Linked DNA regions of Bombyx mori. The protein of the gene in region 3 interacts with the protein of the main gene of each other region in a pairwise test. Links are inferred from orthologs where the notes say so. Each region holds a gene or a part of one and is shown on either strand. Other genes may lie near its edges. The genes, in order: MOXD1 homolog 1, anamorsin homolog and glutaredoxin 3.

Region 1 (10,898 bases), on a different chromosome or scaffold from region 3:
AGTAGACTGAAGACTGCGGCTAGAAGGAGCCGGCATATCTGTCTACCCACTTTCTAGTCCGTTTTAGGTGTTACCTACTACTAGAACTTGATGACTCATCTCGACCCTTCGTCTTTAGATATCGCGATTTTCGTGGTATTCCTTATCGTAGTCACACTAATTTAAATTACATACAACTTACATATGATTTGAGATACACGCTATAAAATCGAGCTACTATTAACAAAATTGTTTTTTTAACTGACGTCGATTGATATACCTGACCTTTGATCATTACCGTACTTAAAACTTTCGGACTGTGGAACTCGAAGTATTTTCACACCGACATGCGAAAATCAATAGATACGGCATAACTAAAAAATGTATGTGCGAATCTCACTTTCGTCTTCATTCCGTAAATATCATACGATTATGATATTTCACGGCATCGAACGTCGAACATAGGTACTTATAGCAAACGTTTCATACGAATTCCTGTCTAATATTTTTCTTAGTAACTTTATAAAATATTACTTAAACGAGCCTTAGTTGTACTATAAATAAGGCATAGACAAAAGACAAGATAGAACTAGTGCCACCCGCCGGTCAGACCTCTTTAAGAATATAGATTGTAAAAAGGTAATAAACGGCTACCGGTACATAAAGTTTGTTTTTCTACTTTGGCAAGCATGAGCGTGATGATGACGCGATGTCGTTAGCATTGCTGACGTCACGCTTTTTAAAAACAAACATGGTATCGTCTCTCCATCACATACATTTTACAATTACACTAAAGTGGTAAGAAAAAACAGATACGCTAGAATCATTTACAATTTGATCAGTTGAAATAATGTCTTACTTTCCGAGATATTTTGGGGATCCCTATTGAATAATCTTTTACCCTTATCGATTTACAGATATTTTCCTTTGAATTAAAATTATATGAGTTCATGTAAATCCGAGATTTGATCGTATCGCGAAACGAACGACGCAAAAAAGTAATTTGAATATCAATGCGAAGACAATGCTTATATAAAAATACCTTTTACATAGTTTCTTTATTACGTAGATACGGGTTTCGTGTGTTCGGTAATTGTGATTCTAAAGCACGTTCACTTCAAATGTTCTGACTTTGAATTTTAAATAAGCACACTAGAATTCGATATATCAACTCATATAAATGCATTTCGTTTAAGATGTAGGTTTTATCTCTATTCATCAGAGTTGGAATAATATTCTAATTCAACTGATGTTTCGACGTAATGTCTCCATTGGCTCCAGTAAACGTTAACATCGGTCTGCGAGGTCAGCAGTATTTATTGGTTTTAAAACAAAAGGACTCGCGATTAAATATTATGTTACATGCGAATTGTGCCCTTACGAAAAAGTGAGAGGAACCTCAAACACGTTTCTGATCGATGTTTGATCTAGAAAATTCTGAGGCTACTTCTATAATCTAGACACTCATAGGGACGGCATTTTCACTAACCTTCACCATTCGAAGCAATGTTGAGGCATCATCCTTGTTATAATTAACACCTCAGACACTCCCACGGAGTGTTTCCAAATACGCGGCCGCATGGGAAACATTTTGTTTGATCTCCTTGATGTTTTAACGTAGGATGTTCAGAGTTTGAAAACTACTTTATTGAAACACAAGACAGAAACGGGGCTATCTTTAATTCGATCGTAACAGATCGACTGTATAAAGTTTAGAGGTGTGAAACTGATCGGTTATTTCCTATGTTAACTTTATAAATAAAAACAAAAAAATATATACTAGTTCTAAAACGGATAAAGTTTTTCTTTTGTTATTTGAACAAACAAACGTTGAATAAATTTACTCAACAAATCCTATAGTTCGTTTTAAAACTGGAAACAATAATGGCGGGCGGTAGGGTTGACCTTTATTTAGTACGCTCACAGCAGCTGACTGTTGGGGTTAATTTAAATATAGACGTTAACTTTAATACGAAACTACATAATTATTTAGAAACTTTTGGGTTTTTATTTTTTATTAGCATAGACGACGGGCAAACGAAATACTTACTTCAGCTAATGCTATACGGTTTCCAGGGTCAATACCATGAATCGTAACGTTCCCATTAGGAAAATGTAATCTAGTTAGAGGATTAGTGGAATTAGGATAATCACCATCCTGCTATTCAGAACCCAATATTTGATTTTTCACAACAGAATTAGGCTTTATCACTGGTGGTAGGACCTCTTGGGAGTCCGCACGGGTAGCTACCACCACCCCGCCTCCGCCGTGAAGCAGTAATGCGTTTCGGTTCGAAGGGTGGGGTAGCCGTTGTAACTATACTGAGACCGTAGAACTTATATCTCGAGGTGGGTGACGCATTTACGTTGTAGATGTCTATGGGCTCCAGTAACCACTTAACACCAGGTGGGCTGTGAGCTCGTCCACCCATCTAAGCAATAAAAAAAAGACAGGACGATAAAAAAAAAATTATTAGGGGTCTACTAACAGACAGATAATGCGTAGATAATATGACTTATTAGGAGTCTAGTATAAAAGCGAAGGGCTTTTCGCATTTAAGAGACTTGTTAAATAGTAGATATTAAATATTATAAATTATTTCGTCGTGGTATCACTTTCGTTTTACGTATTGAGATAAGTACGATCGTTTTAAAACAAATATGTGGGTAGGTGCGTAATTCATTTGAAAAATCAAGAACTGAAAAAAGTACTTCTCCTTCTCCTTGCTTCGATTTCCTCAATGCTTAGGGTCGTGACCACTTCCACACAACAAGAGTTTATTGTGGATCACTCTACGCAATTTGTTTGAAATGTTTATACATATATAATATACATATACATACACACGCATATGTTTCTGATCAGCAGACGATTTTGCTGCCCACCTGGGATTAGCTTGAATAACGCTGCATGAAGTCGAAATCTTATTTGTATTGTATGTACAACGGCAGACCTACCCTTCTATTCGGAACGCCTGACTGGTTTTCGGTTCGGAACGCGTGTGATACTATACGCCCTAACAGCAACCCATGTTCTATTAATAATAGGTTGGGGAAAAAGTATTTTCGCATACATACTTTAGTTAATTGTAAATAAACTATATTAATTTTTTTTGTGAATTTTCTTAAAAATGCGAGGAAATATTTTCCCCAACCTATTATTAGAAATCTGAAAGTTTCTTTATTTTTATATTTGTCCTTCAGAAAGAAGCAACAGATTGACATGATATATATATATTTTTTAAATCCTTCTTCTTTCTCTTCTCAGGTTTTTTTTCTTCCTACTTAAGCTGATGGTCAACAGAGACCACGTCAGCGTCACCGGGCGAGTAGGTGAGTCCACGGGGCCTGACGTTGTTGCTAACACAAACCCTAGCAAGAGCCGTGCTTCGCAGAATCTACCACCGGATCGGAAACGCGATCCACTGAGAAGATCCGGCGAGAAACTCAGTGGGCTGTGTCTGTGGGTTAATTTACTTGCCGAGCCCTTCGTCACAAGGGACGGGTTCGACGAGAACGATGATCGAAAATTCGGTCTTCGATCAGGAGAGCGACATCGACTAACTATTATTCCCGAAAAGTCGTATCTCTACCACAGGAAATTACACTAACGCTTTTCCTTGACCACGCTGACGAAGACACGGGTAAATCCACTAAAAATATAATTGAGTACGTCAACATCAAAAAGTACACAAGTTCAGCTGAATCCGCGTGACAACAGTAAGATAGAACGCTTAATAAGCTCCATAATTAGCATATAATTATGCTGGTGTCCATTATTCCCATGTAAAACACGTAAGTACCTACTTCCTACCTATTTAACTGGTTCGTGAGTCAGACCCGCACGTATTTAGGTATGCAATGAAAACTAAAAATACCTCGTTATTGAGACTCGCTGAGGTCGAGGCCGTGCCATACAAACTCGCGGAGTCAACGCCACCGCGGCAATGTGACCATCCTTTCATACTATCGTGATGCCTGATCGTCCTTCTGTTATTCATATTGGATTTCTACATTTCAGTGCTTTTTTTTTATTGCTTAGATTAGACCTTAGATTAGACTTGCTTAGACCTCGCAAGAGGTCCTGCCACCAGTAATTAAGCTCTTGGTTGAAAAAAAACATAAATAATTCCGCGACCTGATTCTAATAGCTCACATACGAGCTCTTCAGCCTTGAACTCTCGTTCTACTATTAGTGTTATGCATTTATTAACCACGTGACTAAAATAGATTTTAATCGTATCTTAACCCGTAAAACCTAAGTAAATAAATAAGCATACCTAATGGTAATACAAATATTCCTACCGTTTACTGAAATTTCAATGAATGAAGAATGCGCAAAATCTTTTAGGTTTTTATAAGCAAAGTGAATAGTTGTAACAGTAATGTGTCGGAAACGATTTCTTTTTTAAATTCTAACAAAAAAATCTATCCAATATTTTCGAGAAGTCATTGTCACCGTGCGCAACAGGAAGTCTCTGTTTAACTTATCTGGATGGCGCGGCCAGTATCGGAGGTGTTTACCTGCCCCAAAATTTCTATGGAAACTGCCCGCCCAATTACAATATTTTTACAATAGATTAAAGAAAACAATGCAAAGTACCCTGAGGGCATGATAGGTTTAAAGTTCACATTATTTTAACACCTGCACAGAATAGTAGATTATACTAAGATTAAATTACTATGACTAAAAATTGTGCAATAAGTATAAAAATGCAAATTTCTTATTTACGTCAATAGTTGTAGCGGGCGTAATATGAACCCGCATGGGCAGACACCACCACCCTGTCTGTTTCTGGCGCGAAGTATTCCTGCGTTCCGTTGACAGAAGCAAGAAAACAATATTCACAATTCAATGGGCCGTGAGCTCTTTTTTTTGGCTACCTATTCTAGTGACCTCGAGGGGTCATACTAGATTCACCGAGTAAGTAGCACCGAGCTCACGGGGCTCTAATCTGGTGACGTTGCTAACACTAGCCTAGCAAGGGCAGTGCTTCACTGAATCTACCACCGGATAGGAAACGCAACCCACTGAAAAGATCCAGTGAGAATCTCAGTGGGCTGTACCTGAGGGTACCGTGAACCTGTTCATCCGTTCAGCCTATGCATTAACATAACAATAGCACTAATGCATTTGTATGTTGATATAAGTGGCGTCTTTATCTAAATAAAATGTGTATAATATTCACAAGAAAATATAATGTCTTTCCACTGAATCTCTCTATACAAATACAAATTTTTCTTCAATATGATTGTTCTATGATTAATCACCCTATAATGAACTTTAGCGGGTCACCGCTTGATTCCTGGTCACTATCTTCATTTAAGATATTTTTCATTCCAATTCAACCGTTAAGTCTTGTTTTATTTGTAATTTTGTCAAATCAGATTATTAGCTTTAGCTCAATGGGCTGGAATGGGCCTCCAGGGGGAATGTTTAACATTTGACATTACAATTTATTTTTTATTATAATAAGGGGACAGAAAAATGTCCAGCTAGTATTAAATAGTTGTTAGAGCTCACAGATATCGCAAAGTGAAACATCACTAATTTTGAAATGTTACTGAAGGTCTGTAGTATTATATCCTTTCCTTAATATGAGATACAATCACAACTGAAATAGAAGGGATAGTTGAACCTGGAACAGTGCAAGGTCACCGTAATTAATTAGTGGTTCTAATAAGTAATTATATGTATTTATAAATACTGCAAGTTTGATTTTTATAATATTATGTGCTTCCATTGAGACAGCAATTCAATTTACTTGCATTTTTATAGAAAAATTTATAGATATGAAGCTGGATAAGTATAAAGGAGAAGCCCCAAGATCAAGGGCTCAACATTATGTTATCACTAGTAATAAATATGACTCCCAGTTATCTAACCCAGTCATTCCGTGATCCAAAATTGTCTACAATTAAATAATAGTGGAGATGAATAAAATATTCCACTTCATAAACTCATTTCAAATCTTTAAACATATAGAACAACATAAAAAACTCAGGAATATTTGCTACAAAGTTAAACAATATAAGATTACACCTGCCCACACTGCTGAGCTGATTAGTTGTTGCTGTCTTTGGCAGGAGTTCAATAATGTGATCTCAGTAACAAGTAACAGTTAGTTGTTAATGTATATTTGAGATACTCTGATTGGGTGCCAGCAGTATACATTAAATATACATTTTAAATAACTTTAAATATAGAATTGTACAAAAATGTATAAAATATTATATTGTCACATATTAATTGAGTTAAAATAATTGGTAAAAATATGTACATACTACTTATTAATTAATAAAATGAAATGTTCAAGTATTATTGTTCTTGTTTTTTTTTAGTAGTATTGTTAAAAAATATCTGTCTACTGTCCTGCCTGTTGGAATCATTGTTGTAACCATTAATGGGTATATAATACAAATGTGGCATATTAAATTCAAAGTTCCAAGAATGAAGTGTACCATCATAATTTTTAGTAATTGAAATCCACTATTTTACTCATAATTGTATCATTTTAATTATACTACACCAACTCGCACGAAATCGCAAAACTTCAATTACTCTTAAAATTACAGTGCTTTCTCTCGATTTACAAAAAGTGAAATTTGTAACAGAAAACATTCGTTGAATGCGTACTTAAGTAGAAGAAAAAAACCTTTTTAAATTTGGAATACCTATGAAATTAATTTCCTGGCTACATGTGCAAAAATCCGAATAAAATCAAATAAATCTTGAAGTTCGAAGATGCCGCCGGCATAGCAGACAAAGTGCAATAAATTAAAAGAATACAAAAAAACTTACTTTCAATTTCGTTGTACAGTATCACTTACGAATTAAAAAGTCACAATAATCTATAAAGTTAGTAAAATGATGCGTAAAATACATTTATTTGGCACAAGACTTTTTCACTTGTTTATTTACGTTCGTTCGTTTGACAGTCGATCGGCACATGCGCATACTCTCACCTCGACGGACAAGCGCAGACTAACTGAACTGAATGACGGCAGTGAATGAAGAGTGAACTTCAAAAAAAAAACGAATTAACTGGTGTTGGATCGGCGCGCGATTGAGCATTGAATGAATTGACAATGAAATGCAAGGCGGTTGGGAAACGAGTGAAACGACACAAAATCTTAATTATAGGCACAAACAAATCCTAAATATTTTTCAATGGATATTGTATAAATCTTTTTTTTTATTAATCCTCATCATGACCTAGAAATTATAAAAAATGGTATTTTTTTAGTTTAATGAGTTGGTGTTTTTGACCTATAAGTCATTCAAATATTAGAAGAAATCAGAAGTAGATTATGACTACGAACAATATAAAATAAGTCCGGTATGAACGTTTAATCAATCATTTCCAATTTAGTATTAGTTTCACACAACACCTTCTATTAGTCACAAAAATGTGGTATTTCCATTGACACTTAGGTACTCTTGATTCATTCAAATCTATATAATATTATTATTGTAATATTTCGCGTCATGTGATGTTTTTTGTTTGTATTACTTAGACGGGTGGAAGAGCTTAGGGCCCACCTGGTCGTATCGGAGCCCATAGACATCAACAACGTAAAACCGGAGCTCAAAGTATCAGTTTTTACAGAAGAACAGCTGCCACACCCTTCAAACCGAAACGCATTATGTACTGCTTTACGGGAGTAATAAAGAGCAATTACGCAAATTATAATTTTTTGCGGTTTGATTTTTATTTCACAACTAGCTTTTGCCCGCGACTTCGTCCGCGTGGAATAGTGAGTCAACCTTAACATATAGACATATGCTGTCGCGAGCTTTTTTTTAGATCTTTTAAAGGAGAACAATTCTGTCATACATTATTTTAGCGAAACTTTAACCGTTTCTGCAGCGCACGCAGCGGAAGCTTTCAAAAGGAAAAAAAAAAGAATTTGAAACATTCTTTATTGGTGCTCCGCTTGCATTGGTCTTAGCTTGATGTTATATTATAGCCTATGGCCTTCCTCAATAAATGGGCTATCTAACACAAAGAATGTTTCAAATCGGATCAGTAGTTCCTGAAATTAGCGCGTTCAAACAAACAAATTCTTCAGCTTTATAATATTAGTATAGATATTATTTCCTTCACTGTGGTAGTCATTCACAAACGTTTGGTATGTATGACTATCATCCATTAATGTATTGTTTTATTTATCAATGCTACCCTCAGAAAAAATGGTAATTGCCTTTAGGAATCGAACACTAGCACAGTCGCATTATAGGTACTATGATAGGACTATTAAAGGTATACATATACAAATTGTCAAATTTATTAGTTCATTTTTTATTATTCTTAAATTTGTAGAATACTTCCAAATCGCTGTATTAATCAGTTTTTGTGACAAATGGAGTTAATAGTTCGAAGTTGGTCTAATGGTATTATTGAACATGACAGAGCTCTTTATTTTTTCATTGGCACCAAAGTCTGCATACCTTTCAGCCCACCATAGTAAGTGGCCATCCTAGCATGGACTACCGCCATATCACTGAAATGCTATCAGAGTATCTAAACATAATCATTATGGTACTTTGGTATCACGTTTACGATAACTGTTACGTCAAGGTGGTTCCTCTTGTCGTGGCAGCTGGTAATTATATACCCGATCCTGTAGACCGAATGGTAAATAGTCGACGTTGCCCAAAACACGTCATTACGGATCCTACCGATCCATTAACGGTGCTTTTAGGTATCACAAGCACTGGTCACCGTCCTCGTCGAACCCGTCGCTTGCGACGAAGGGCGCAACGAGCGAATTAACCCATAGACACATCCCACTGAGTTTCTCACTGGATCTTTTCAGTGGGTCGCGTTTCCGATCCGGCGGTAGATTCTGCAAGGCACTGCTCTTGCTAGGGTCAGTGTTAGCATCACTCCGGTTTGAGCCCCGTGAGCTCACCTACTAGTTAAGGTTACGCTGAAATAGCTTCTCAAGGCTATCAGCATAGGTAGGAAAAGAAAAAAAGTCAAGGTGGAAAACGTAGTATCATAACCCAATAAATTCACAAACCTACATTTAACTAATTACGTTAGCTAGGTACATGTACTTATTCATTATTGAAACCATAACACAGCAAAAGCAGTAAAATATTACGGCAATAAACTTGATTGTATCTCTGGAAGCATACTTCAATACAAAACGACAATTTGGGAACGGGTGTTCGCGCACGCACTCCATACCCTTAAAACAATAACATTCAATTTTCTACTCTCTTATTGCAGTGTAAGTCTTAAAATTATTTAACACCGTTGACCTAAAGGTGTAGGGTTGCTCTTTTATTTTTTAAACAGGATATCCTGGGTAGAGCGTCTGACGTCGTTTCCGAACGCACGGTTCGTTAAAAGTGACTGTTTATAAAAAAAACAGTAGCACGTGCACCTGAAGTGGGTTAAAGAACACGACTTTAAAAAAATATAGCATCCTCTATTTTCTATTTTGTAGTAGGCTATGCGCCTGGCGTTACTATTGTGATCAATGGAAATTACCTACCAGCAAATGGGCCGTATGCCTGTCAACTTAAAATGGTAAGACAAATACAAAAAATATGCTATTTAACATTGCCTGCTGTGGATTCACGTTGGATGCAGGTGGCAACGGACCGGCCGCACTGGACATCAGTTGGAGAGGCCTATGTTCAGCAGTGGACAGCAGACAGGCTGAAATGATGATGATGAATGATGATGATGATGCTGTGGATTTTCCACAAATAACTATGACCTAATGGCCCAAATTTACCGTGAGGTTAAATATTTAATTGCTTTACGATATTAATTCATCTTATTCACTCATATTTCATCGCGCTCACATACTGTACACCACTATTTTAACTAATCAAAAATACCTTATCTATCTCCTGTCAGTAACGAACATATTTAAGTTAAAAGAAATTATTAAATTACTTTCGATAAATTAGTTTTTAAAAGGACATTATGTGATTAGACGTGACATTCAAACCCAATAATTTTCTATTACTTTGTGTACACCAATAGCCAGGGCTCAATATTTTACCGCGAATTTTTGAATCGAATGAATGAAGGAAATACTTAAACGTGCTAACCTCTTCAGGGACATTGGCTCTTATTTAATTTTAAACTTATTTTATTTTTAATAGGTATGTTTACATGCATATGGATATTTAATTTTAATGAATAGTCACTTTTTTTTTCAATATCAAATGAACAAGCGCAATAAAGAATAAATTAAATTCATATTTTTGTACTTTAAAAAAATCGTCCTAGATGTTTTTGTGTTCTAATGTTAATAACTGTGCTTCAACAACACGTACGTAAATACTTATATATTTCTACATCTTCATGTGTAGTCCCTTATGCGAATCGCTATTTCACACGAACCACAAAAGATTTGATTATTTTTCATAAAACAAGTCGAAAGCAAATTAAAAGTTAACTTATTAATTAACAGAGCTCATTAAACCAAATAGCTGTCATTCCTTATTTGAACTCGTTAAAACAATTTCAACTTCGCCCGATCACGCCATTAAAGCTAGTTTATTAATAAATTAAAACACCGAACACCGCTTCATCAGAATGTTAGCAGCGAAACTTTCGATACAAGTATGCGATGTCATTAACCCCGCATTAACAATTTTGTTTTACGCGATTCGCATTAATTTAGCGTGACCTTGGCCATTTGCTCGGTAAGCACCAACACGGACGACTCGTGACAGATGTAATGCGATAATATCATTCGTCTCCATAAGGGGTGAAGTTTTTATGGCTGCACCCAAAGAAGGAATGGTTGACTTGAAAATTCATTAAAGAAATGAATGAATTTTGTGTTTGCGATGATCTGTTTTAACTTTTCAGACACTCGAAACTAGATACGGATTTTGTGTTTAGTGATTTTGTAGTTTTTATACTGCTTTTATTTGGTATCGTCTC
Region 2 (10,708 bases), on a different chromosome or scaffold from region 3:
CGCCACCCACCCTTGAGATATGAATTCTAAGGTCTCAGTGTAGTTAGAACGGCTGCCCAACCCTTCAAACCGAAACGCATTACTGCTTCACGGCAGAAATAGGCGGAGTGGTTGACCTAGCTGTGCGGACTCCCAAGAGGTCCAGTAACCACTTAACAACAGGAGAGCTGTGAGCTCGTCCACACATCGAAGCAATAAAAAAAAGTGACCACACTTAATCAAACACACAGATATATCTTACAAAAACTTTTATTTAGTAAAGGCATTCACAACAAGTAAAATACTAATACAGTGGACTGGAATAAATCTAAGCGGTTTTTCATATATCGGCCTTGAGATCTAACATCACTTTCTCGCCGGGCTTGAAGGCTGGCATGCCGAGGTACGGGCAGGTCGCGCATCGGAACGCATCGCCCAAGTAACACTGGAAAAATCCAAATGACGCATGTTCTAGAATATTCGGTTATATTGCTGCTTGCCGGTGGAACGGTCCACGGTACTGTCTAATCCTTACCAATGCTTGGTTCGTTTACGGGCATTGCACTCACTAGCTCCGGTTCCAACATAACATAGATATTTCGTATTCTATTGTCATCGGGTTCCGTAAATGATTAAAAATATTATTACGGCTTAATCTCGCTATAATATGATCTTTTATATTATTTTTGACGAATACTTACAGTTTTCATGGTAAAGGATAATCGACTAAATTTAAAAAAAAAAAAAAAACATAATTAAATCGTAAAAATAATTTTCCTTTCATATTTCATTTTGACAGTGGTAATACCTACCTTGCGGATTATAATATACTATACTACCACATAATTATTGATAACGGTAAATGTTACACAATAAAGGGAAATTTAAAAAAAAGGCCATTTCGGCCACAATGGTCACAAGTGTATGTATGATTGTCTTTTTTTACCATTAATAATATTCTTACTAATTTGGATTTTAGATAATATAACTTCAAAGTTTAAAAAAATCCGAAAAAAGAATTTATGTATGCTAATGACACAGAAATAATATTTTATACAAGTTTGAAGAATTCATTTTTGCATGAATTATTTATGTTTTCAAATCATAATGAAATTAAATAGCTTCTTACACTTCCACACGACGATTTTGGAGTTTCTTTTGTCTCGCCCCTTAGTTCCTCGGCGAGGCCACAGGTGCAGTCCACGCACGCTTTTCTCTTGCCTGTTGTTGCACAAACTGAAAAGAAAAAAAATATGTATGCATTTTCGACAGTACCATAGGCCTACAAATTGACTAAAACACTATGTGCTTTGCCCTAGATAACTTTTTTTTTTTTATTGCCTTTGTAGGCAGACGAGCATACGGCCCACCTGATGGTGAGTGGTTACCATCGCCCATGGACTTCAGCAATGCCAAGGGCAGAGCCAAGCCGCTGGCTACCGCTAACTAAAGTGGGAGTTTATACATTCTTTAAATTTACTAATAAAAAAAAACAGTTAATTAAATAGTAAAGTAAAAGTTGTTTTAACGAATGTTCATTAAATAAAAATTATCACATAAATACTATTAACGTGAAACAAATATTATATTAATGATAATTTTCATTTGTGTTTAAAATATGCTTCACTGCAGGAACAAGCAGCAATACCGTCTTTACCATAAGAGTACACGGGGCCCGTGCCCAGGGCCCCCATTCTCAGGGCGCCCGGAAGGACCGACAATTTCTCTCACACATTTATTCTCAAAACATTGTTGTCGGGCACATTACACTTTTTTCACAAATCAGTAATCTTATCAGAAGGTAATTTCGAGGCATATACTACGCCATTATATCGATGACTGCGCCTATTCCTACTGTACTAATTAATAATATTTCCGAACGCATCCTACCTAATTTACTAAGTACACCATCTAGCGTAACAAAAAAACCAGCAGCATTCTAATATCATTAATGAAATATTATATCATACTGTATTTGATTACCTATATAATAAATGGTCATACTCAGTAAAAAAAAAACATTTTTTACTTTCCAAAAGGGCCTCAAATTCTTGTGTGCCCAAAGGCCCCAGCCTAATTTAAGACGTCCCTGACAAGCAGGGTGGTGGTACCTACCCGTGCGGACTTACATGATGTCCTACCACCAGTAGATAGCTATACATGAATCTACATAACAGATATTAAGGAAATATTTCTGTTAAAATAAATGGTTATAAAATACTATGTCATTTATTTTCTGATCGAAAATAAAAAAGCAAGTTAGAGGGCAAACGTCCCAGAGAAAGAAGTCCCACTAGATGGTCGGACCAAATTCGATATTCTCTGAACATCAAGTTCCACGATTGCCCTTACGAAGCTAAGGATCATATTAGATGGAGGGGAAATCGTACGCGAGAAACCGATGCAGCGTGCGAGTCAGGTCCCTCACTAATGAGTAAATCGACGTGAAGAGAAGGAAATTTTAATTCATGTTTTGAAAATTATTAAATTCTTTTTTTGAAATTTAATGAATAAAAGGAAAAAGAAACTTTTGTTGCTGCGTGTACTCTCAATACTGTTTTCTGTAAGTACAGAGTGCAAGTGCACTCGATAAGAATGAAACTAAGTGAAAGGGCGGAACATTGTTTCACAACCTATTTATTCCCTAATTTTAATATGATTTCCGTTTAATTGTGTTACAAATTACAAATGACTCTTCAGATTAAAGAAAAACGATAAAACAGTCAACAAAATGATAAATGATGACATAACACTTTCTTGAATCACAAGATGGTATTTGAAACACAAAACCTCAGAACAAACATGTTAATGAAGAAATACATATTCACAGTAGTACAGACAATTATTTATCAATTTATTACAAATGATAATGGAAACCACCACTGTTCCCATATCTTTCATAATATCAAAACCATTGTAAATTAATTTACATACCACTTTTAATAAATAGGTTGCATTTACAATATTTACATAAATAAAACTATTGTTGATTGATATACGAATACTTTGGTGTAAACATATTTTATTGTACATTCTATAAGTTGCCAATCAAAGAATAATTTACAATAAGCTCAAACATTTGCTTATTGTTTTTGCCATTTACACAGAGCGCGAACCACCGATAGATAAGACTCTATTCATGGATATAAAGCGCGTAGCATCGGAATACCGACTAGCGTAGTTTGATTATAGTTATCGTAATCGTATCGTAAGGTAATTATTAGGTATCGACCTGTACCAAAGTGTCTTACCACCATCAATACCATTTATAAATAACCCTTTAAAATGATCTTGCTGTGAATTTAGCATTGATTTTTGTATATTTTGAAGTAAAAATTTTATATAAGGTTTTATATTTTAAAAAATTCTGCAAAATATGTGAAAATAAGCTTAGCACAAATAAGTTTCAAATTTAAAGATGATTCTATAAAATTAAAATCCCGAAGAATAAATGTGTAAAAAATTCAAACTAATTTACCACTCAAAGCTTCTTTATCTGGCTTTTTAAGGTCATTTTCATCCAATAGTTCGTTCTCATCAATAATATCATCGTTGTTAGTGCTGGCCCAAGCTTCCTCAACTGTGCTGTCCAACTTCCAGACTGTGGCTTTTCCATTTAATTTCAGAGATGACTTTGAACCAACCTGTGTTATTAAACAGCTATTTAGTGAAATAAAATTAAGTTTTTTCAGTATTTCCAAAAATATTCTCAAATGTAGTACACTAAAGACACAGTTAAACAGGGCTCCATGACTGTTGGTTGTTCTTCCTTTGAATTATAAATTTCAAGACATTTAAAAAAAAAAAATTGGAGTTATTTTCATTTCATAAATATAAGTATGAGCTAATATAAGTCAGCTATTGAAGCAGATATTAACATCTTTGCCAGAAATTAGTATAAAAAAAAACTGCAGAAGTTATAATTGGATTCCGTTTTGAATGGCCGAGAAACCCTTGTACTAATGCAGCATCAAACAGTTATGTCTCATGGCAGACAGCATTCACATTGTGATGTCTGTTGGTTATGGTAACCAACTGGTAATTAACATCAGCTTAAAAATATTTCAAAAGTCTAATTAACATCAGCTTAAAAATATTTCAAAAGTCTAATTAACATCAGCTTAAAAATATTTCAAAAGTCATAACATGTTTACAATTTTTAAACAACTAAGATATGCCTACTAGGCAGAGCCTGGCAATTGGTATTAATGCTCTTAATACTATAGTAATATTATACCTATAATATTATACTTAATACTATAGTAATATTATATATATTATTAGTATATATTATATATTTTTGAAGTCGTCGTGGCCTAAAAGATAAGACGTCCGGTGCATTCGTTGTTGCGATGCACCGGTGTTCGAATCCCGCAGGCGGGTACCAATTTTTCGAATGAAATACGTACTTAACAAATGTTCACGATTGACTTCCACGGTGAAGGAATAACATCGTGTAATAAAAATCAAACCCGCAAAATTATAATTTGCGTAATCACTGGTGGTAGGACCTATTGTGAGTCCGCACGGGTAGGTACCACCGCCCTGCCTATTTCTGCCGTGAAGCAGTAATGCGTTTCGGTTTGAAGGGTGAGGTAGCCGTTGTAACTATACTGAGACCTTAAAACTTATATCTCAAGGTGGGTGGCGCATTTACGTTGTAGATGTCTATGGGCTCCAGTAACCACTTAACACCAGGTGGGCTGTGAGCTCGTCCACCCATCTAAGCAATAAAAAAAAAAAAAAAAAAAAAAAAAAAAAAATACCCCCTTGAACCAGGTCATTGGTAGATGGTAAATCCTTCATTTCAAACATTTTTAATGCATACCTCAAACTTTGGTTTCTCCGCAACATATCTGTTATTCTCCAATTCAGTGACATTTACAAAACCATTTAATTTAAGTGTACTGGTCAATTTGTTGAGATCTTTGAGTATAAGTTTACCATTTGGTTTGAGTAATTTAATGATTATTGCCAATAGTTTATCAGAATGTGAGACACTGTGGGGAGGTAACCAGTTTGAGAGAACAACATCAAATGATGAATGCTCACGGGAACCTGAAAAATTATCAAATTTAATTTAAACTTTTTTAGACTATCTTAAAGCATTAAAACTAGGATTATCTGTGTTATGATAACGAGATTAATATACATAATTTTATACAGTTAAATATATACATACACAGATATTAAACACTAGACATAGAACAAACAAACCTGTTCATTACAAACATGATTGCTTAATTTGGTAATAGACATCACAACCTTCTGCCCTCGTCAGGGGCACACTTCTGGATCACCAAATCAGTCAATACCGGGTTTATCAAAACACAACTTAAAATAGTTACAGTTTATCTAAATTTACATTGATAAACAAACCTTTGATACCTGACATTGGAATCATTCTATAAATTGAAACTTGAACAACTTTGCCAAAACATGTTAGGATATGATGTAAATAAATATTATTTTGCTATTTTAAAGTTTTAAGAATTCGGTTGTGTCCTGACTAAGTTACATGCTATTTTATACATCAGAGTAGATGAAATAGCAGAAAAACAAGATTTTAAAATTTAAACATTACAAAAAAGCACACAATTATTTTTCTCATACATTTTCTGAGATAACCAAATCAATTATAAAAACTATAGAATACACGTAAGAGAGAGTAAGTAATAAGTAAGCACAATACTACAGCCAACTTAAAGAACCCTATTTATAACATATCTATGCACAGATAGATTTCTGATCTTTTTTTTCCGGTAAACACTTATAATCGATTTGTGGAGAGCTACTTAACGTATGAAAAAAGTATAGAACTTTTCCTAATATAAAAACTTTAAATTCGATAAGACCACTAACTGAGAATTAAGAACTAAAATGTATAATTTACCTTCAGTGATCATGTCGGAGTTTTCCAGAACCACAGTATCACTTTGAATTACTTTTTTTACGTCTTCTATTAGGCTCGTAATGTTTCCTTGACTGTCGTTCTTCCAAATAATAAGAACATTGTCTCCGTTTTTCAAGTTGTCCATGTTTGTAAGCCAAGGATTTTTAACAATGATTTTACAGTATTTTTTAAATAACAGATAACGAAATTATAACGCAGTTAATTTGTTTCCTTGAAAAAGATAACAGGCAATTGGTAAATTTCCTAACCAGTGGCTGCTGGCTTAAGTAAATGATTATAAATAATGAACAATGATGAATTTCAATTCAATTGTCAGGCACTTCCCTTCTTATTTTTTCAGTATGGCAATCAGCTTTTTCAAATGACATTGTTGCCACTATCTAGTTCATAAAATCTACATAATTACTATTTACACAATTTGTTTAATAATTGTTGAACGGATACAATACGAAACGGAATAGAAAAATTTGATTGATCTGAAATGGAATGAAATTAAATCAAATAAAATGGGATAAAATGAAACAATGCCCTAGTACTATAATAGGAATTCACTGAACCTTCGGTAGAATTGGACTTTGATAAGAAAATAGTAAAGTTTTGCTTTCGCTGCAAAACTAGAAGAGTCCGAGGAGCCGTGTCACATTTATGGACATTCGTAGACGCTAATGGATTAATAACCCGCAATTATTACACGTATAATGCAACAAAAACACAAAGTTAACTATTTCCTTCGTAGATTCTCTAGACTTTAGATATCAACCTAAAACGGCATGCAGATATAAAATGTCGATTAGTATTTTTACACGTAAGATGAATAGCATTATTATTATTATAATAAACGGGTTTTTTTTTATTCAAAATTAAACCATTTTATTTATCAAATGCCAACACCACTAAAATAACCTTAAAATTTGACATTTTGGTTTTAAAACATTTGTTTTTTGTTGACAATATTCCTACAATGTAAAGAACAGCTGATGTGGACCTAAACAATAATTTATTGAATTGTGTTTATCTTAAGAATATTATCGTGTTGCAAGGGAGGCTCTTACTTCAAAAGTGAAAATTGTAGATTACTTATAAATTAAAATACGTTATTAAATATTGGAAATGTTTCATGAGGCTTTCCTTGCTGGAATTTGGGGATCTGCTGGAAGCGCTTTGGGGAAGCTAGCTGGAACTGAAAGTGTAGTAGTAAGTTATTTAGAAGTGTTTATGAAATTGATAAGAGTTAACGACACGACCTGTTACAATTATTAAAGCTTATGACGATTTAAAACAAAACAATGTCAAATAATGATTTAAATAACAAAATTTGAATAAAACGACAAAAGTTTATCCTGCTATTTTTCAAATTGTATGTGAATGTAAGTAATTTTTGTAGCTCTAGCTATATTGTATGACTACATTATCTAGGTCAATCTTTTTACTCGTCATACATCATAATATGTATTAATTAATTTAATGTTCAACTATTGAACAAAATTAGACTATAAACTACACTTCAAAATGTACTGATAAAAAGATAAGAAAATTGCAATACATACTGTTTTATCTTTACCCATTAAATATAGATAATGTTGAATGACTTACCTTTTTTTCACTAGTTTCAAGAAAAGGCTACTCTCATTAAAATACAATAATGATTAAGAATAATAATAATTATAGTAATAAACTTAGATTATACTAGATGGCGACACTTGTATAGTGCTACAGTAAGGTTGGACGAGCTCGCGGCCCACCTGGTTTTAAGTGGTTACCGGAGCCCCTAAACATCTATAACGTAAATGCCGCCACCCCCCTTAAGATATAAGTTCTGAGGTCCTCGTTTTTACAGTACAACGGCTCCCCTACCCTTCAAACCGAAACGCATTACTGCTTCACGGCAGAAATAGGCGGGGCGGTGGTACCTACCCGTGCGGACTCACAAGACGTCCTACCACCATTGACTATGCAAATTATAATTATGCGGGTTTGATTTTTTATGAAGTTAATCGAGAACATTTGTTACGTACATTTTTCATTACAAAAACTGGTACTTGGCTGCAGGATTCGAACATCGATACATCGCTAGCTACGATTGCACCGGACGTCTTATCTTTTAGGCCACGACGACTTCTTAACTTTCAGTCACTAAAAATAGTAGGTACTGTTTCACAGCTTATCATAGATAATAAATACCTACAATCAATAAATAAATTGTACCCTTGAGCTATAAATTAGTAATTTATCTTTTTACCTCTAATTATCCTGTTTAAAAAAAAACAGAGCTCATTCTAACTTTAAAATCTTAGCATTTGACGACACTAACACACAATTCATATTCATATGTTAGTGTCATAGATCACCTAAATCCAGTATACAGAAACGCAAAATTGTTTCGCGATAGAAATAGGAGCCATGTCCAGATATTTTTGGAAACCCTGACCCTGTATTTTCCATTACAATAACATTGTCATAAACGTAGATTTTTTTATAAGCATAGCTGAACTATTCCGGTGATATATGTTTGACCGATAAACATAGATAATAGGTCATAGACATCACAATGTAAATGTTGCCGTTCACTCGTATGGGTTTACGGGATGCATCCACCACCAAGGGTTAGTCGGAATCAGTGTCGGAGTGGGCATCTGAAATCTCTATATTCTAAAAACAAACGCGTTCCTTCAGTTTGTCGTTCTGAAGGGGAGTAGCAGTAGCTGTATTCGCTAATCCGCATACCCACTAGCACTGGCTGCGGAAACTGCGTTTTCTGGCGATAGGGCCTCTTATGAGCCCGAACGCTAAAGGATAAGACGTCCGGTGCATTCGTGTTGAGCGATGCACCGGTGTTCCAACCCCAGGCGGGTACCATTTTTTCTAATGAAATACGTACTCAACAAATGTTCACGATTTACTTCCACGGTGAAGGAATAAAAATCAAACCCGCAAAATTATAATTTGCATAATTACTGGTGGTAGGACCTCTTGTGAGTCCGCGCGGGTAGGTACCACCGCCCTGCTTATTTCTGCCGTGAAGCAGTAATGCGTTTCGGTTTGAAGGGCGGGGCAGCCGTTGTAACTATACTGAGACCTTAGAACTTATATCTCAAGGTGGGTGGCGCATTTACGTTGTAGATGTCTATGGGCTCCAGTAATCACTTAATACCAGGTGGGCTGTGAGCTCGTCCACTGGGCATTGCAGCAGTATCAGTAGGTAGCGACAGTGAAACAATTCTTCGATGTTACATCGAAACACTCAAAAGCAAAAAGAAACACTAAAATAAAGGCGCATTTACATTAATTTGACAGGGAGACAGCTATGCTATATCCGGCGTTATCTTGATAATCATGGTCCTCGTTAACACGTGGAGTAGCAGGCATTACTTGCGGTCACTGGACGCTGCACCTAACTCGGTCGCACCCACCGTCATATCCGCAGCTTCTAGCTACGTTCTATCGGTAAGATATTTTTACGCATTCTTTAAAAGCCCACCTCTACCTATGATATGTGTGCAAGTATGAATGGATGCAATGGAATTTTACCATTATTTTTAACTGATTTCTAAGCTCTCAGACTATAGCTGTGCCATGAAATCTGACAGTTATGTACTTTTCTTGACAGTACAATATAGCCAGATTGTACCGCAGTCGCTTTATTTACCTTATTTTACATTTAACATTTTTTTTATCACTGTCAAATTCGAGTTGAATATAGTTACATTTGTTGAGATCCAACCGAAGGTTTGGCTGCCAAGCGTGCCGAGGAATCAGACAGACATACATCATACATGCCAATGATGCCATGCCATTTATGTTACAAAAAAAGTCTCCCACGTCTTATTTATTAGGTACTTTAACACGTTCAACGCTACATGAAAAATGGAGAGTTTTCATTTAGGCCACGATGCTCACCGGTGAGCCTTATCTTACTGAACCATTCGGGCCATGAGGGTCACCCGCGAGCCGCGTGAGGGTTCCAACGTAAACGCTTCCTACAAGCCACAGATTGCAGCTATCAAACAAAGCGCGTATGGAAGTGAGCCGCGTGACCCTCAGCCGTAGAACTGGTGGCAGGACCTCTTGTGATTCCGCGCGGGTAGGTACCACCACCCTGCCTATTTCTGCCGTGAAGCAGTAATGCGTTTCGATTTGAAGGGCGGGGCAGCAGTTGTAACTATACTGAGACCTTAGAACTGATATCTCAAGGTGGGTGGCGCATTTACGTTGTAGATGTCTATGGGCTTCAGTAACCACTTAACACCAGGCAGGCTGCGAGCTCGTCCACCCAACTAAGCAATAAAAAAAAAGAACGCCATGATTTTCAAATTCAATAGAAAGTTGTAGTTTTCATCATAATTATAGCCTTTTAAAATATCTTAATAACTAAACGGTAAAGTCGCTAATTTTTATCTTCCGTGGAAATTATTGAAATTTATAGATTTTAGAATGAAAATCTCAAGTTCATAAAAATTACTGATTCCCTGATTCTGGCTTGGTAGGAATGGTATAGTACGCTAGGCCCACCGCTGTCATGTCGGTCTGGGGACCGGCGAGGGGGGCCTAAGAAGACGACGTGCAAGCTGTTCTGCACGCGTTTTACGCAAGAGCATCCGGGTGATGGAAGGTCGGCTATCCTCGACCCACGCTGGTTCTGGCCCAGCGGGGTATTCCGTAGGGTAACCCACTCTAACCGGCGCCATCTAGGCGGGCTTCGGACAGTCTGCCGACCGAGAGGGCTGGTGGTCGTGGCGCCGACGACCGCCAGTCCGGCGTCCCGAGGGGGAGGGTGATGGGAGAGATGTGCTCCGCACTAAACGCTTCACTTTCCCC
Region 3 (10,748 bases):
AAACGCATATCGAAAATACTTTACTTGTAAGGAATGTTCTCGATAATTCTAGGGATGTCGTATCGACTATAAAAGCGTTGCAGAGATGCCACGAAGCAGTTAGTAATCGGAACTGATCGAAGCGAAACAGCGAACGGATCACCTGAAGCGAAGAGGAAGAAATTAATTGAGAATTTTAAAATGTTCATTAAATGTTTTGAGTGTTTTAAGTTAAATAGAGTGTTAATCTGTAGTTCGGTAGAATTTTTATTTATTCCGTAACCCAGCGCGTAACATTAATAAATCCTTTTTTATCCAAGTATATTTTCCCTTATTAATTAGAATAAACAATATTGTATGTGTTGTTTGTGTAAGCTTGCTAACGGAGGCTAATAAAGTTTCAGTATTCTAGAGATTTCCACCTGCCCATAAAGCATCATCAATGAACTGACTGCAATTGTCATGACGAGCATGAGGAAATTGAGCCAGTAAAATATTAGAGTCGTTAATTAAGTTTGAATCCTTTACAAATCAAAAATCTTATATTTCAAGACATCAAAGTCTCATAGTGTGTTAGCATTACAAATAACTTAAGACACAAAGATCCTATAAAAGATCTTACAAAGATCCACCTGTTTAAATATAAAGAATTTTTGAACATAACAATTTGCATACAAAATAAGTAAAAAGTTTATTAGTTACGGTATACCCATTTATAAAATTAATATATTATTATCAGAAAATGCAAGTAACATTATTTCAGCGAAATTTTCAATTTCATATCACACGAAAATGCTATAAAATGGCCACGTGAGTAATTTTGTTCAGCGCACAAGACGCAACGATTCTAATTCACGGATTTCCGATTTTCAGTCATGGAGATAAAATTATTGATGGAATAAAATAAAGTATCATCAATGAGTTAACTAAATGGTTTGAGTTTTAGATTGGCGTGTGTTAATAAATTACTAACCAGTCAGATAGCCTTTATTTGATGTTTGAAAAATAAACTTATGTTTTTGTTAGTAAAACTCGTCCACATATTAAAATTGCTAAATTCAGTCAACTCTAAGCACCCTTTATTGTTAGCGGCGGGAGACGAATTTTGATGGGAAGTGGTTGTCATATAAATGTATATGCAATGCCACAGAGAATAGTTACACATTCCACGATTGGGTCTGATGTATGCTGCTTTTATTTCAAGACAATTTTTTTTGTGATACTAGTATATTAGACCTACGTCATCAGTACAAATAACTATGATAACGGATTGATAAGGACTACCTATCATAAAGTATTTATGCTAGTCGTTTTATCTAGGTAAAAATTTTTTAGTTTTTGTTATAGTATTTTCTTCGAATGGTTTTACTTTTACGGTTTAATTTCGCTATTTTCTGTTTTATATTATTTAAGATGTTACTGATACTTTACAGTATTAATGGAAAGCATGTTTTCTTTTGTTTATGGTCCGTAGGTTCTAGATGGGTCATAGGGCTTCAACAGTATTTTGCTATAGCGATCGGTTTTGGACTATGCACTTTACTCAGGCCACAATAGCCCGATTGTCTTCATCTCCGCCTCACATTACGCCGCCAGCTTTGTTTAAAACGTGTGGGATGTGTGAGGGCTCTCTTCTGAGAGTATGGCCTCTCCATGTACATTTCCGGCGCATGATCTGCTTGTGAATTGGCATTTCCCGACACGCCTCCCAAAAGTATTCATTAGAGTACTTCTCAAATTAGAAAATGCCAAGTATTTGCAGTAAGCAGCGTCTGATGAAAACCTGAATCGGCTGCATGATCTTTTTGTTTGGACAAGACAAATTTCACGTTTAATCGGTGGATTTTGAGTTTAACTCTGCGAGAATTTCGTCAAGATGTTATCAAATATTGGTCTAATGCAGCGTGTCCTTTGACATCGCGTTGCCACTTTGTTGTTTCCTCGAGTATTTATTTGTTCCGTACAAGTTTGATTGGGGTGGAATCCAGTCTATGCTTGCCGAAGAAGTTGTTCCACTGTTTTCGCCCATCTGATCAGAACGATCTTGCTTAGTATCTTTGATGGCACGGAAGGCAGCGTAATGCCCCTCCAGTTGCCACACTCACTGAGGGCACCTTTCTTGAGAACAATGATTAAAGGCCTTTGTTCCGGTCATCGGGTAGATCTTCAGGAATCCATAAAGACCTCTGGATCAGTTGACGGCTTTAAGCATTTCTCCTATTATAAAAGTCGAGGCTTGGTGCTTTCCCACTCTTATTAGAAAATATACAGGGTGGCCCATAAGTCCTTTGATATGAAAAAAAATTTATTAAAATAAAACTAATTACATTATGAATTAAATTTTTATTTACATAAAAAGCTTAAAAAACGGGAATTATTTTTTGAAAATAACATCTCCTAAATGTAATCCGTTGCGATCACGGCACTCTTGCAAACGACGTCTAAAATTGTCGATGACTGCGCGGCACGTCACTGCTGAAATGCTTGTCATTTCTCTGCGGATGTTTTCTTTTAGGGCCTCAATTGACCGCGGGTTTGTGTCGTATACTTTAGCCTTAAGGTAGCCCCACAAAAAAAAATCCATCGGGGTCAGATCTGGACTACGTGGAGGCCAGGAAATGTCTCCTCTCTTAGAGATAACTTTGCCAGGAAAAAGTTGACGGATAACGGGCATAGCAGTGTTAGAGGTGTGAGAAGTGGCCCCATCCTGTTGAAACCACGTCCTGGCATTAAAGCCTGAAAAGTTTTGCAATTCTGGTATGAAAAACTCTTCGATCATAGCCACATATCGCTCCGACGTAACAGTAACTGCGCGCCCTCTGCCATCCTCAAAGAAGTAAGGCCCTAGGATACCATGGGCTGACATAGCGGCCCAAACAGTCACTTTCGGACTATGTAAGGGCTTCTGATGCTTAAGTTTTGGATTGATGGGGCTCCAATAGCGGCAATTTTGTTTACTAACATGCCCGTTAAGATGGAAATGAGCCTCGTCAGAGAACATTATGTTATTGAAGGAAGTAAACCGATTCAACATTTCATTCGCGTAATTTTGTCTTTGAATACCGTCAGTTTCCTTTAATTCTTGAACCAACTGAATTTTGTAAGGGTGCATATGTAAATCTTTCTTCAAAATCCGTTGTAACGATGTCCTGGATACGTTTAATGCTCTGGCGCGCTTACGAGTTGACTGTGTCGGATTTTCGCGAATAGACTGTGTCACTGTGTCTATGTTTTGTTCCGTACGTGACGTCCTTGGGCGACCCAACCGCGGTTTATCTAACGTCGAACCGGTCTCCTCGAACTTAGCAACCCAGTTCTTAATCGTTTGAAGAGTTGGAGTGTCGTCAAAGTTGTGTAAACCTTTGTGTTCTCGAAATTTACGCCGCGCAACGGTTGCCGAATTGTCGTTTTTATAAAACTCGCGCACACAAAACGCACGGTCCGCTCCGGTAAAACGCTCCATCGCGACTAAATTCCCAGAAACCGAAGTTACTCCCCCCGCTTCCCCTGCACCGCTCACGCGCGCCCTGTTCATTTTATTCAAATTTTACTTTTCAAAGGACTTATGGGCCACCCTGTACTTCAAGCTGCTTCAACTTCTTCTCGAAGCGGTATCGAAGTGTCAATGTCTAAAAACTATGGTAGGGTTGAGCTTGGAGATGAAGGAGATGGTAGGACAATTCATTTGCTCAAAAACTCCTGAAAGTTCTCGCGCCAACATTCAAGATAACTTTCTGAAGTCGCGATGTAGTTTCTGTTTTTATCCCAAAGCAGTTTCTTTTGGGTCTCTTTCTCCCTGCCAGCTCTTTGGTGTCACCGTACAATTGCCTCAGGTTGCCCGTATCGACTGCTGCTTGAGCACATTCAGCTTACCGTCAGTAGATCGTCGCCTGTATTTTCTGGTGCTGCGATAGATGCACTCATGTACGTATTTGACTGTACTGGTCCCTAAGGCAAGACCGTTCGGCTTTGTTCGGGGTTTCTAGGATGTTTAGGTGAAGATCGCATCAAGTCTGTTTAAGGTCACAAGTGTCGTCGGAGGTCCAATCATCGCGCTTTTTTCCAAGATGATCTAAGACAGAAGATCTGATTTCTTGATAGATTTGATTCGGTTGCACTCTTCGTCTGTATTATCAGTATTCGCATAGAGACGGAAGAAACAATTTCGGAGTTCCAAAGCAAATTTACTTCGAGAAATCTTTCTATCAAGTTGTCCCCAATCGAACTTAAGTCGTATCTTGTTGCTGCCAGCTGCTCGCCTCGTAGTCGCAACCTTGTGCCGGAGTTCAGCGACCATCAACATATGACCACTGCCGATATCGGCACTACACTTTTTGTGAACACTTGGCAGCTAGTTTGGTCTTCGTACGTATGTTGCCATCGGGTGAAGTCAACGCATACTTATGTATATTTTTATCATGGAAAAGTGTACCTCCGATAACAAGGTCGTGGTTTTCGCAGACTTTAATAAATTGCTTCCCTTAGTCGTGTTGGTCCGTATTGTCGCTTTTCCCTATCGTATTCATAACTCCTATCAAGATGACGGTATTGCTTTCGAATGCCTTCAGCGCGTTTTAAAGTTGTGTAAAGGAATTATGAAGTGTGCCTTAAATGTTCTAAGAGTTAAATAGAGTTTTAATTTGTACTTCGGTGAAAGTTTTATTTATCCCGAACCCGAGCACGTCACAGTACTATTTCTAGCACTACACTAAAAACATGTGACCAACAAAAAAAGTACTAAAAAAGCTATGTCAGGCCAAAAGGAGTGTTTTGATGTGCGCTTTGGGAGTCTTAACGACGAAAGGAAAGATCTTCCACCGAGCGGGTGATATTGCTCGGTAGACCGACGGTCCGAATGTCGTTGTTCGGAACTTGTATTTTTTTTATTTTTTTATTGCTTAGATGTGTGGACGAGCTCACAGCCCACTTGTGATGGGATGTGTGATATATGCGCTTTATCTTGAAAATGTCATAAGCGAGATTCAGGCATCTGTCAATTATCTTGCGTTGTATGATGGCTACCCGCCACACGCTAAGAGTGCAGAAAAGTTTTTATTCCACGGTTTACTTGTGAAAATAAACCAAGTTTATAGGTAATTTTGAAGTCGTCGTGGCCTAAAAGACGTCCGATGCATTCGTATGTAGCGATGCACCAGTGTTCGAATCCCGCAGGCGGGTAGCAATTTTTCTAATGAAATACGTACTTAACAATTGTTCACGATTGACTTCCACAGTGGAGGAATAACATCGTGTAATAAAAATCAAACCCGCAAAATTATAATTTGCGTAATTACTGGTGGTAGGACCTCTTGTGAGTCCGCACGGGTAGGTACCACCGCCCCGCCTATTTCTGCAAGGTGTGTGGCGCATTTACGTTGTAGATGTCTATGGGTTCCAGTAACCACTTAACACCAGGTGGGCTGTGAGCTAGTCCACACATCTAGGCAATAAAAAAAAAATGATTTCATACTTATGAAGAGTGTCATGAAAATATCAAATCAAATTGGTGAAGATGGACTGCTGTTTACATTAGAGTAAGAAAGCATGTGATTTTTATATGTATATATTCACTATAAATATTCATTCAAAATAAATAAAAATAGAAAACTAAAAATCTTTCATTTTGCAATTTAAATCATACCTATTTGTTTTGTAGAAATAGGCAAAATGTTCTCCATTCTTTAGTTTTTACAAAACTTGTCTCGAGGGCCAAGCCAAATTTCACATGACAAAGTCACATCTATACTTACACATGTAAAATAGTGCAATCAAATTATAGGTATTGATCATTTCATCAATAATACATACCCTGTTCCATTCAGAATTTGTATGAGAGTACGACTAAACCCGCATCTTGGAGTTTCCTTGTTCCCTTTCATGAATACCATTATATTATGCTTATTTATTAAAGCTTTTAGTCGATCTTCAAGTTTCTGAGGGGTTATTTCTGCAGGACTCTTATTAAGACTCTGTGCTTTAATTTTTGTGCTAATTTGAGCAGCATCTGCTCCATCAATCCTGTCTACTTGAGTTCCATTCTTAAATAATATAACTGTAGGCACTGAATCTACCTGAAATAAACATAATCATTAATAAGTTGTCTAAAACAGGCTTTCCCTATTTTGATTGTTTTCATTATAAATTATTTCAATATTCAATTACATAGGCTCTTTGATTGCTTAACTGGTCTAGTGTAGTGTTTCCTAAAGTAGTCTATTTCAATCTGAAGAATGACATAAAGTCTTTAATGCATAGTTGAGTAACCAAAATCAAGATACAAATTGATGTATCCATAAAGGTATATAAGCCGACTTAACCTAATAAGTGTATGGCTTTAATAAATAATAAAAAAAGTATACACAGGTATTGCAATAGGTGACTTAATTGTCTGTGCTTTATGATGCACTACATTTTTAGGGTTAGCACTTATTACTTTTTATTTAACAATATATTAGCAGAGCATTACCTTATATTGCAAGGAAACTTCAGAAAGTGCCTCGGCATCACAAACAGCACATTGTGTCTTGCTCGACTGAATTTCAGGAAGTTTTAAGAGTTCTTCAAGTACATCTGTAACTTGTTTACATTGTTCGGCCCATTCTGCTGAAAAGTGTACTACTCCAAGTGCAGGTGATCTAAATTAATTAAATAATTTTTGATATCAGCCAATACCAAGATAGATATTAAAGAATCATCTTGTTGTGATAAAAGATTAATTGAAAGTAATATTCTCAATTTTATATTCTAAATACATATTTCCATTTCAATGAATGCAAAATGTTGACCATCCTGCTACATAGTAATTTATTATCTAACATTTTTACCTATTTACTGTGTATTTAATTTAATTTCTTTTTATGGCTTATTTTTAATGATCCTTTCACAAACGGTTTTAAAAGTACTTTTTTATTAGCGGTGATTCTTACCTTATAAAATTATTAAAATCTTCAACAGAGTCCAATTTACTGACCGACATTTCAGTATACTATGTTTAGGTTACTTTAATAAATTTTGTAAACAGTATATAAGCGCCACTGGATTACAGCAAGATTGAATTACAATTACAGCAAGATCCGGAATCGTAGGTGTACTCGATGCAAAAATTACAATTTATTTAATCATGTTCATTCAGTTTCTGACATCTCTGATTAGGGATGTGGTCTAAGATCGATACTTGAGTAAATTAATTTGTTAACAACTTAAATCGTGAATAGTGAAACATCTTAAGCAGTAGAAAATCGAAATTTGATGAAAAGGCATTAATAAAGTATTTATGGTTCAACTGATTATGAATATATTAAATATAATGTTTATTAAATTTAAATTTACATTTTAAATAATAATAATTTAAAAAGTTGTTGTATATAAATCATGTATTTATTAAATTTTTTGAATGAATTTGTTGTTAATTTCTGTTTGATTGATTTTTGTGTCATTTTGGTTGCACTTGGGTATTTTCTAGAATCGATTTTTCAAAATTTTGGTCTGAAGTCGAATCATCATCTCTATTTCGAGCCAAATTTTTTTGTTTGATTTGTTTTTTGGACAAGCAAAAGGAGTCATAAATAATAAATAGATGTACACAATAAGGAGTTTTAGCAACACAGCGAAGTTATATTATGTCATGTATATCTTATTTATTTAAAATCGCTTAGCCATCTTATTGTTTACGGTTAATGATCAAGCTTAGTGGTAGATTTTTTTGTGTCTGAGCCAATTTTTTTGCTAATTTATATGGTGATTAAAAGGTTTGCTTAGTCATTGCTCTCTCGAAATGCTCGCAACATAATTGTTAACTTATAAATTTATTAACCTCTTTAATACGATTTTCGTTAGCGGTCAAATTGGTAGAAAACTACCAATATGACTAGCCAAATTGATACACACTAATAAATCCAGTTTAGTTTCTGTAAATTCTCAACATTTTACTAAGAGGTTTTCTTTATCGATTTGTTTTTTTCACTTATTTGGTGTTATAGGCAGAATTTGTTTGCATGTCAATTTGGACCAAACAAGTAAAACTGTCAAATTGACATATTCTGACTGAAGTTTTGGATCCTACCCGAAATCTACCTATTTTGAGGTTAGAAAAAAGAAATAGTCTTAGGATCCTACAAAAAACTAAATAGAATAACTAGAAACGTGTGTTAAGTTCTTTTATTATTTCCTTTTATTAATATTTACAAAGATGGCATCCGGTTCAGGCACTCAACAAATCGATTTAAACAAACTACCTTTGCCTCAACTAGCTCAATTGAAACAGCAGTTAGACCAGGTATGTATAAAGGAAATATCTATAGAGCTATTTTAGAAATAGTAAGCATTAAGTATTATTTCTTCAACATAATATAATTTATACAGATAATTATTAAATGTCGTAACTATTAATGTCCTTAAGAGACAGGACTTATGTCCTATTTTAAGGACCCTCATGAAAGCCGGAATGAAAACATTTCCATATGTTTTCTGGTCTGAGTTGTGTATCTAGGTGTACTTGTTAGTGACATGAACCCGGACCTCAAATACCAACTCACAAAGCTATGAATCTAAGATATGTTAAAGAGAAGACTTCACTGAATGTGCTCATTTTTGGTAGACAAGCAGTCATCATGTTGTTGTTCTGATCTTTTATTGGAAGACTATTTCGTAAACAGTCAGCTTCAGGTCATATCCGCTTTTCTTTATTGTATTGTAGCTATTGCTATAATTAGCCAGAAATGGAACATCAAACATAATGACTAAATTGAGGGAGACATTTTTTTTATTGCTTAGGTGGGAGGACGATCTCACAGCCCACCTGTTGTTAAGTGGTTACTGGAGCCCATAGACATTTATGATGTAAATGCGCCACCCACCTTGAGATATGTTCTAAGGTCTCAAGTATAGTTACAACAGCTTCAAACCGAAACGCATTACTGCTTCACGGCAGAAATAGGCAGGGTGGTGGTACCTACCCACGCGGAATCACAAGAGGTCCTACCACCAGTGAAAATGTGTCTGTATGTTAGTAACTGATGTTATGTTACAATATGCATTAGTAAAACGTCTGCCCTTTAGTCTTTAGGTCTACTTTGGGAGTACTTGGGCAGCTGTTAGTAAATCTGACTCCTCCTGGCTGCTCCCATGCTTGCCCTGCCTATCTTAGTGAAGCAGTAGTGGCCTCCTTGCAACCAGCTATCTCCATCCGAAAAAAAGGCAATACTCTCACACAAAATCCATAAAATTTTATTTCAGGAATTGACAGTATTTCATGATTCAATACAAACATTACAAATGGCTAAAAATAAGTTTGGTGAATCAGGAGATGTTCTAGAGAAGATGACGCCTGATATCAAAGGAAAACCGATGCTTGTTCCATTGACTAGTTCAATGTATGTTCCTGGCACAATAGCTGATGTTGAGAATGTCATTATTGACATTGGCACTGGATATTACGCTAAGAAAGTGAGTAACTTAAATCTATACATATAAATAAAATTGGAGTGTCTGTTTTTAATATTGAAATAACCGCTTTTTACTACATGCATATGAATATATACAGTACATACACCAAAATAACATTTTTTACAATTTTTGTCTGTCTGCCTGTCTGTCTGTTTGTTCCGGTTAATCTCTGGAACGGCTGGACCAATATTGACCAGACTTTCACTGATAGGTAGCTGATGATATAAGGAGTAACTTAGGCTACTTCTTAGATTAGGTTCGGCCCGCGGCGTCGGTTATTGTCGTACCACGGGATAACATCGCGGGACTCAGCTATCAATAATAAAATTTAATGTTTCCGAAGCGAAGCGAGGCGAGGGGGGGCGCTAGTTAAAAATAAATTTAAACCTAATTTAACACTTAATTCAGCTCCAAGTTTGGCAGGATAATATATCATGTATAGCTGCTGTTTTCATTTCAAACCTCATTTCAGAAAATGTTGAGTACTTTAGAATATTGGTATGAAGATTGAATCATGATATAGTTTCAAATAATTTCAAATTAACTGCATGGGTTACCCCTTAGGGCTAATGATGCTGACATATGTTTGTATTACGTTTTATTTCTGCTTCTAGGACATTGAAAGTGGCAAAGATTACTTCAAGAGAAGAGTAGAATTTGTTACAGAACAAATGGAGAAAATAAGTATGTTAGGTGCAGAGAAATCGAAACTCCGTGAAGCTGTTAATGCATTAGTTGAAATGAAAGTTCAAAACGAACTACAAGCAAAAAAAGCTAACTCTTCATAACATATCTGAGACTTAATTTAAAAAATATTTTGTGGAGAGATTCGTGTCCTTTTAATGTATAGAGTTGACCTAAATTTTCTGCTTTGTTAATTTATAGTTTATTTAAAGTATTTTAATTACTTTTTAAAACATTTTAATGATTACATCTTAGTGTTAAAAGTGGAATCATTTGTGTTTTGTTACCACGTATCACCCTGTCCTAATCAAAGTGGTTACTATTGCTTCTGTACATCAGTGATTTCAGAGCAAAGCCAAGTTTCTGAATGTATTAACGTAATCCCAACAGCTATGACTTATACTGATATTTTCTAATGTAAAGCTAGATAATATTATTAAGCCACATCAAAGCTTTTCCTCACATTTTCTTTAATTTTGGATAAATTTTGAAACTAATTACCTAAGGTAATATTTTGTGTTTAGAATACTCCTCAAGAGTACTACTCAATAGCATCAAGTAATGTTAATAATATTCTTAATTCATGTTTTGTAATTTTGTAAAGCTTTATATCATTTCAAACTATGTGTTTTACAAGTACA

The links.
Region 1: the proteins of glutaredoxin 3 (region 3) and MOXD1 homolog 1 interact in binary tests that used the Homo sapiens proteins (3 or more experiments, as listed by UniProt). The link is inferred for Bombyx mori from reciprocal best matches to the Homo sapiens genes GLRX3 and MOXD1.
Region 2: the proteins of glutaredoxin 3 (region 3) and anamorsin homolog interact in binary tests that used the Homo sapiens proteins (3 or more experiments, as listed by UniProt). The link is inferred for Bombyx mori from reciprocal best matches to the Homo sapiens genes GLRX3 and CIAPIN1.

What each region holds. Positions count from the first base shown.
Region 1 is NC_085109.1:4,824,784-4,835,681, forward strand, and holds the start of MOXD1 homolog 1, read right to left. Parts: upstream 7,012-10,898; 5' UTR 6,782-7,011; intron 1-6,781.
Region 2 is NC_085117.1:10,722,444-10,733,151, reverse strand, and holds anamorsin homolog, read right to left. Parts: upstream 6,792-10,708; 5' UTR 6,451-6,791; intron 6,370-6,450; 5' UTR 6,018-6,369; coding exon 5,873-6,017; intron 5,038-5,872; coding exon 4,808-5,037; intron 3,624-4,807; coding exon 3,458-3,623; intron 1,216-3,457; coding exon 1,109-1,215; intron 425-1,108; coding exon 320-424; 3' UTR 234-319; downstream 1-233. Other genes in the region: uncharacterized protein LOC101735621, read left to right, coding at 7,004-7,087, 7,943-8,035, 9,188-9,337. UniProt on the Homo sapiens protein: Component of the cytosolic iron-sulfur (Fe-S) protein assembly (CIA) machinery required for the maturation of extramitochondrial Fe-S proteins.
Region 3 is NC_085112.1:5,055,496-5,066,243, forward strand, and holds the start of glutaredoxin 3, read right to left. Parts: upstream 7,160-10,748; 5' UTR 6,956-7,159; coding exon 6,906-6,955; intron 6,615-6,905; coding exon 6,446-6,614; intron 6,051-6,445; coding exon 5,788-6,050; intron 1-5,787. Other genes in the region: prefoldin subunit 5, read left to right, coding at 8,168-8,254, 9,214-9,423, 10,038-10,211. UniProt on the Homo sapiens protein: Together with BOLA2, acts as a cytosolic iron-sulfur (Fe-S) cluster assembly factor that facilitates [2Fe-2S] cluster insertion into a subset of cytosolic proteins.